Linked DNA regions of Mytilus edulis. The main gene of each other region encodes a partner of the protein of the gene in region 2 in a complex. Links are inferred from orthologs where the notes say so. Each region holds a gene or a part of one and is shown on either strand. Other genes may lie near its edges. The genes, in order: lysosomal protective protein-like and beta-galactosidase-like.

Region 1 (3,936 bases), on a different chromosome or scaffold from region 2:
CAAGATAATAACCAAAAACAGCAAAATTTCCTCAAAATTACCAATTCAGGGGCAGCAACCCAACAACCGATTGACCGATTCATCTGAAAATTTCAGGGCAGATAGATCTTGACCTAATAAACATTTTTACCCCATGTCAGATTTGCTCTAAATGCTTTGGTTTTTGAGTTATAAGCCAAAAACTGCATTTTACCCCTATGTTCTATTTTTAGCCGTGGCGGCCATCTTGGTTGGTTGACCGGGTCACGCCACACATTTTTTAAACTAGATACCCCAATAATGATTGTGGCCAAGTTTGGTTTGATTTGGCCCAGTAGTTTCAGAGGAGAAGATTTTTGTAAAAGCTAACGCCGGACGACGACGGACGACGGACGCCGGACGCCGGACGACGGACGCCGGACGCAAAGTGATGAGAAAAGCTCACTTGGCCCTTTGGGCCAGGTGAGCTAAAAATGAACTTTTCATAAAATGTTCACTTTGCATGAGTCTATACTTCTTTTCCTGTCTGAGGCACTGCATGGTTAATTGAAAATTCCATATTTGGGTTAAAAATTCGTTTAAAAAGTAGAATTTTTCTAAAACTATCCATCATGACAAGGATTTTTGTGATTAGGTGTGACAAGTAATCAATATTCTTACCAAAAACACCAACTTATGTATTCATTTTGTGTTTTTTTTATTTTTATTGCAAATTGTATATTCATTGGGGTGTCAAGTACAGTCTAAAAATCATGATATAGTAGGCATGTATAAAGACCTGTATAGTCAATAAAGAGAAAGGTGTGGTCTTTCTTGTCTTTAGATTGTTGTATTGTAGCAAATTCTTCAATATGAAAAAGTTTTGGGTAGTTTTTCAATTTGACTTAAACAAGAGGCCCACTTGGGTAGATTCAATGGTAAACTAGAGGCTCTAAAGAGCCTGTGTCGCTCACCTTGGTCTATGTGAATATCAAACAAAGGACGCAGATGGATTCATGACAATTTTTGGTGATGGTGATGTGTTTCTACATCTTACTTTACTGAACATTCTAGCTGCTTACAATTATTTCTATCGATAATGACCTTGGCCCAGTAGTTTCAGTGGAAAATGTTAGTAAAAATTTACAAGTTTTATGAAAATTGTTAAAATTTGACTATAAAGGACAATAACTCCTTAGGGGGTCAATTGACCATTTTGGTCATGTTGACTTATTTTTAGGTCTTACTTTGCTGTACATTATTGCTGTTTACAGTTTATTTTTATCTATAATAATATTCAAGATAATAACAAAAAACAGCAAAATTTCCTTAAAATTACCAATTCAGGGGCAGCAACCTAACAACAGATTGTCTGATCCATCTGAAAATTTCAGGGCAGATAGATCTTGACCTGATAAACAATTTAACCCCAGTCAGATTTGCCCTTCGGGCCAGGTGAGCTAAAAAGGGGGAGGGGTAAACTATTGAATGTGGTCCAATCAAACAGAAGGAAAAAATAAAAATAATAGATAAGAATACTCTTCTCGCTTCACAGTATCCAAATAATAAGAAAACATTCATATAGATAGACTAGAATGAGATTTACAGATCATTTGATAGACATGACTGATTTCCAAATTTTGCCTGTTTTCAGGAAACGGTACTGCTTTAATAGTGGGATTATTTTTATTAATACAACTAAACATTTTTTTTAATGGCATTTTTTATGTTCAAATATGGCTACTTAAAGAAACTAAGTTAATGATTTTTTTTTTTAAGACATGTCATTATTGTTAACACAAAAAATATGTGATTTTGTACTGAATTTTAAAATCATACTAACAATTTATATGGATAAAAAACATCCTTTTTCGTCATTCAAAGGTAATGGTAAACTGGAATTACTTTTCAAATTAGAACTTAGAACGCAAATGAATTATCACTTATGCAACTGCCTACAATGCATATCAATTTTAAACATGCAGTATAAGTTAATTTACCCTAAAAGGTCCATGTTCTGAGAGTAAACCTAAATCAGAACTACATCCTGGTCCCCCATTCATCCACAGAACCAGAGGATCTTCTGATGGTTTATTGGCTGACTGTACAAACCTAGAAAAGATAAAGACGATATCTTATTCACTATATATGCTATATATATATACTCTTTTTGTTGCATTTAAATTGTATCGTATCATCCGTATTCATTCAAATAGTGTCAAGTTGTGAAAAACAAAATTGATCAGGTGAAAAAATTAAAGTAAACTACATTCAGATGACACTGAGCATGCTGAAATGTAACTAGTTTACCAATATAAACCATATCCTCTGATGTAAAACAATTTGAGTATAAAGTTAAATTTAACAGACAATATACTTTTTTGGCATGCTAGCTCTTATTTTCATCTCAGATACAGGGAACTTAGAAATAATTGAGAAACTGATCATGCTGATGCTACAAATAGTAAGAATCATTATATTCAATTTTCTATAAAACTATGATTATTTTGTTTTTATACAATGTACTTACCAGTAATGTAACTGTTTTGTTCCAGTAGCATTCAAATACCCAGAATACTGTTTCCAATATGGCTGCTTGTGTAGTCCTGGCATATATTTAATTTCCTCTGCAGGTGGTGCTCCATAACTCATATGAAGTATCAAACAAATTGTCAACACTAGTACTGTAGTCCACATGTTTGTGATCTGAAAAAAAATTGTTTTCTTTTACATGTGCTGAATAATAACTATCACAGTAGCAGGAAAGATGTGTCTATGGGGATAGATCTAGCTGATATGAGTGAACAAGTATATATATATACAGTACTTTTAAGGACATACTGAGATGAAAGACAAACATGGTCTGATGTCTGTCCTCCCATGACAGACCATGTGTCTGTCTTGCCCTTTAGATAAATTAGGTCAAATAAATAAATATTAACACCTTGGTCATGTGGAATCATAAGTTTATATCTTACACAATCTTACCAGGTGACTGATAAACATGTTACATTTTCAACTTACAATGACTTACTAATAATGCAAATGATAAAAATTGACCTCTTTTTCAAAGATAAATTTGATATACAAGTATATTTTTTGTGTTCTTCTTCTTATTACAAAATAAGAACAATAGTTGTCATTTTAGCTAAAAATCATATAAACTTTAATCTGTATATCTGTATCTGACATATGGAGCTACATGTAGTTCAAAGCAAATCTTACAATAACTCCAAATGAGAAAAGTACATATACATATTGTACTCAAAAGATAGGAATTTAACACTTTCGAATAGTAAAATATAAATCCTTCAATACAGTCACAGCACTGTAGGACTCTTATTAAAGAGGGACGAAAGAGACCAAAGGGACAGTCAAACTCATAAATCTAAAACAAACTGACACCATGGCTAAAAATGAAAAAGACAAACAAACAACAGCACACATGACACAACATAGAAAACTAAAGAATAAACAACACGAACTCCACCAAAAAACTAGGAGTGATCTCAGGTGCTCCGGAAGGGTAAGCAGATCCTGCTCCACATGTGGCACCTGTCGTGTTGCTTATGTGATTCATAGTCTGAATTGAGCAGCCATTAGCTACATGTATATAGTTCTATTAAGAGATATAAAAGAAACCTTAAGCAAAAGATTCATATCTACAAGGTTATGGACACCAGAACATACTTTCATACCAGTACATATATGAGCTGTGTGGAATAGAAATTGAATATTTATACATCTGTTAACTTATTTCTGGTTGAAAAATTTCTATGCAAAGTCTGGAACTGTTTTAAAATAGGGTTGATATAAAATATAAGAACCCTGCAAAAGAGATCAAAATTCATCTCTTACTTCGTATTTAAATGTTCCACTGTGGATTCATTTATTTTCGTGGGTACCAATTTTCGTGGATTGAGGAAAAAACTTACATGTTTGTGGATATTTGATTTTGTGGTTTTTCTGAAGTATGCA
Region 2 (3,936 bases):
TCTCTCTGTACCTCAATCAAGGAAACCAAACCCATGTGACCTCTTTAAAATATATTGATTGATATCTTTATCTTAAAATGATTTTCTGATCAGAAAAAAAGATCCAGCTCAAAGTACAATAACTTACAAAGTCCCATTCTCCACAGATATATGGCCCTGCTCTAAGTACAACAAACAAGTCAACTTCCTGTGCCTGCTTAATGAATCCAACTAAATCTTTGTCACCTTCAAAATTCAATTCATTCTCCTCCATCTCATGGAAATTCCAAGGTACATATCTAGAAATTAAAAAAACCCATTTAAATTTCTTTTCTAGAAATGTGTATCATTTAATTTGCTTAAATTCTATTATCATCTACAGAAAACCAACTCATTCTTTAGGAGGGGGGATTTGTACATTTTTTTGGTTTATAATATAGATACTGCTTAAATTAATTGTACCAAGATGTTTGCAAGATAGTTTGAATATGAAAAGGAATCATTAATTCTGACATCCTGTCCTAATCTTCAATGTAAAGCAGAGCTGAACTGATGATTCAATTTGTAATACAGTAAGTACAAAATGTAATAATAGATGATGACTGTCAGCATAGTTTATACTTGTGTATAGATTAAATAGATCATTTTGGTATTAATATTTATTTTAGAAAAATTCATCCTGAAGTCATGTAAGTCTAATGGACTACCTACACTTGAACAGCATTTAAGCCAGCAGCTTTCATTTTCTGTAATCTGTCTTTCCAGTAATATGAAGGTATCCTGCTATAATGTATACTGCCAGATATATAACGGAAAGGTTTGCCATCCATACGGAACATGTCATTATCATAATCAATTGTAAACGTTCTGTTTGCCTGAATATAATGGAAAATTAATTAGAATCTAATTCATAACAGTGTGGATGTTATTTCATTCTATTCATTACAGTTAATAAATTGCTTTGCCGAGTGCAGCTGGATACGACTGCAGGGGTCCAACCCTGAACAGTTGGGGCAAAAATGGACACAATATTTAACGCTTGATACAGGTCTGAATTTGGATTGTAATTAAAAATTTGACACATAATAGGTTTCTGACACAGAATAAAGTCGAAGAACTTGAATTGATTTAATGAATATGATTTGAATTTATACTCAATTTTTTGCTTTTGTGCAATACACTATGCTGTTGTGAATTTTCCTCCCCTCTCAAATAAAAATTAAAAAAAACTTTTTTTTTTAATTTTATGCAATACACTATGATGTTGCATATTTGCACAAAAAAAAATATGAAGAAATTTTCATTTAAATTTCTGAAATCTGAATTGAAAAAAATTGCCCCTACAACTTCTCTCCCCCCCCCCCCCCCCCCCCCCAATTTTTTTCACCTCCCCCACCCTTTTCCTTTCCCTCGAGTAATGTTATAATCTCAATTCAAATTTCCATTTGAGTTTGCAACCATAATTACCCATTAAATACATCATAAAAGTATTAACATTGATATTAATATTCCTTAATCAGCATAATTCTTAAAGTAAATTGACAGCTAATCACCTCAAAACAATACATTTCTTTGTACATAATTTAAATGCAGTGTTAGGGAGGTAATCCAAAAATTGTCTTAATTCTCAATTAACCAGGAAACCCTTGTTTTCCCCCTTTTTTGCCCCTAATTCATATACAGTTTGAACCATAACCCCCCAAACCCAATCTTAACCATCCGTTTGTAGTCTGGAAACTTGAGGTATTATTTCAGAGAGATCCATACACTTCAACACAATTTATTGTCTGGAACTAGAAAAAAGCATATTTGGGCCTCTTAATTCCTAAATTGTTGGGACAATAAGGCATAACCCCAAAAATCAATCCAAACTTTCTTTTTGTGGATATAATTAACCTTGTGTTTAAATTTCAGAGATTTCTATTTACTTATACTAAAGTTATTGTCCGGAAACCAAATGTCTTCAGACGACGAGGACGAGGACGACTACGTCATGTACGTGATACCAATATATGATCACAAAAAAATTTGCAGTTGTATAAAAACTATCAATTATTTGCAAGATATTTGTAATTGTTGTCAGACAAGGACAATGACAATTGATGACAATTATTGAATTAATATGGGGACGGAGTCCCCAATAACAGTAGAAAATTCAATAAAAAAAAAATACGGGAAAATTTCCCGAATTTTTCATTGTACTAATGAACTCAAAATCGTTCAAATTTTTTTTGTCGTGTTTTGAAATCCTGGACCTGCGCAGAAATGTACAATGTACTTCCTTTTTCCGGTCTCGTTTGTATGAAACTTTGAGTAAAATATATATTTATCAGTCTAGTATAAAATAGGAAGGAACGTGCAATACCAATTTCATTTTTAATAATTCCTTGATATGAAAAAACGTTACCTGATGATAGCGTTTCTTTGTTTACATTGCATATGACGTCATAATTTAAATGACGTCACAACTAAATCCCTTACAACAGAACCAAAATCGGAAACATTACGGTATTTCCGTTTCTTTTTTTTTAAACAAAATATTTAAGTTACAAAAAAATAATTCATACAGACTTCGTCCCCATTTACAGGTAGTGCCTGCCTCATATTAGCTCACACTGGCTCTTTGGTCCAAAAATTTGATTTGATTTGATATATGAATGATCATGAATTTTGTTAGATTGAGTATTGATTTGATTTGATTAAAATTTGTTTTCACTCCTCTGAAAGATGTTTGAGAACACTAATCTAAAATTTTAAATGTTTTGAACCAAAATATAAGTTAACTTGTGTAACAAATACCTTTAGTGCATGTATGATCATAAATAAAAAGACGAAAGTGAAAGTTGGACGAAACATGTAAGTCGCCATTTTCAATGTTTTGTTGAAGTCATGTGATTAGATCATATGACTTGGTTACACGTTAACTCGTACCTTTACCAATTCGTACCCAATATTTAATATAAGTGTACCGATATCCTATTACTGCATTGACAATTCTACCCTATTGACAATTCGTCCCTGTATTTGATATAGATATATAAATATATAAAGTAAAACAGCTTTTTATATTCCCTAATTTTCATATAAATATATATGAATCAGTGGTGATCTGGAACTGTGATATTAACCTGTTGCAATGCGAAGTCCTCCGCAAGGCTAGTGTATATGCACAAATATTGTAGTTGCTTAAAGGACACTCAAGCAACTAAACCGAAGCCGGATATTGTTTAAAGCACTTTACAATACATCTTTAAACTTATGTTCAAAAACTTATGATCTAGTCCTGATAAGCAGCTGTTGCCTAAATACAGGCTCTCAAAAAACATTGTTGAAATAAAAAAATAAGCGCAAACATTACTTGGATTTATATGCAGCCTCTAGTACAACTTGTCCCAATGCTCTGAGGGAGAAAAAAATCAACAACAAAAATCATAGATCCTTAATAGTTAAAATGTCAAAGTTGGATATCATTTCCTGGGACAAATTTGTAATTGTTTGCTTCTCTAATTATTTATTGAGGTAAAAAAAGAAGAAGTAAAACCATCTCAACCTCAGACCTAAGCATCTATGACAAGCTATTTCGTGTCGAGGATTGCCCTGATATCTTCCCTTTTCAATCTTTAAAGTGTGTTCTGACACATGCAACCTTGTCGGATTTTGTCTACAATGTCAACACTTTGGATTACAGATGCATATTTTTTTACAACAAAGTTATGTGTCCAAGTGTACAAGAGAATAGTTTACTTCAAGTAGGCCTATATGTATGTAAATCAGATCCTATAGGTTTGTACAAAAAAAAACAACAGAATATTATATGTCTTATATCCCAGATGCACAATATGACCAAAATTAAAAGACTGAAAATACGACGAAAAGACAAATAACAGAAAACGAAACACAATACAAAAGACCGTAATATTGAACAACACAAATCTCAGCCAAAACAGGCCAGGTCAA

Evidence for each region.
Region 1: the proteins of beta-galactosidase-like (region 2) and lysosomal protective protein-like are in contact, whole or in part, in a cryo-EM structure (PDB 7KDV), measured with the Mus musculus proteins. The link is inferred for Mytilus edulis from reciprocal best matches to the Homo sapiens genes GLB1 and CTSA. Residues at the interface, in NP_033882.1 of Mus musculus: Tyr198, Asp199, Arg202, His206, Leu229, Thr233, Leu234, Gln235, Asp236, Leu237, Lys258, Phe259, Glu260; in NP_001033581.1 of Mus musculus: Glu29, Asp31, Ala37, Lys38, Gln39, Pro40, Ser41, Phe42, Arg43, Tyr107.

The regions. Positions count from the first base shown.
Region 1 is NC_092348.1:35,176,744-35,180,679, forward strand, and holds the start of lysosomal protective protein-like, read right to left. Parts: upstream 2,866-3,936; 5' UTR 2,851-2,865; coding exon 2,800-2,850; intron 2,665-2,799; coding exon 2,489-2,664; intron 2,071-2,488; coding exon 1,959-2,070; intron 1-1,958. UniProt on the Homo sapiens protein: Protective protein appears to be essential for both the activity of beta-galactosidase and neuraminidase, it associates with these enzymes and exerts a protective function necessary for their stability and activity.
Region 2 is NC_092345.1:94,141,028-94,144,963, reverse strand, and holds the start of beta-galactosidase-like, read right to left. Parts: upstream 2,875-3,936; 5' UTR 2,848-2,874; coding exon 2,779-2,847; intron 855-2,778; coding exon 691-854; intron 279-690; coding exon 128-278; intron 1-127.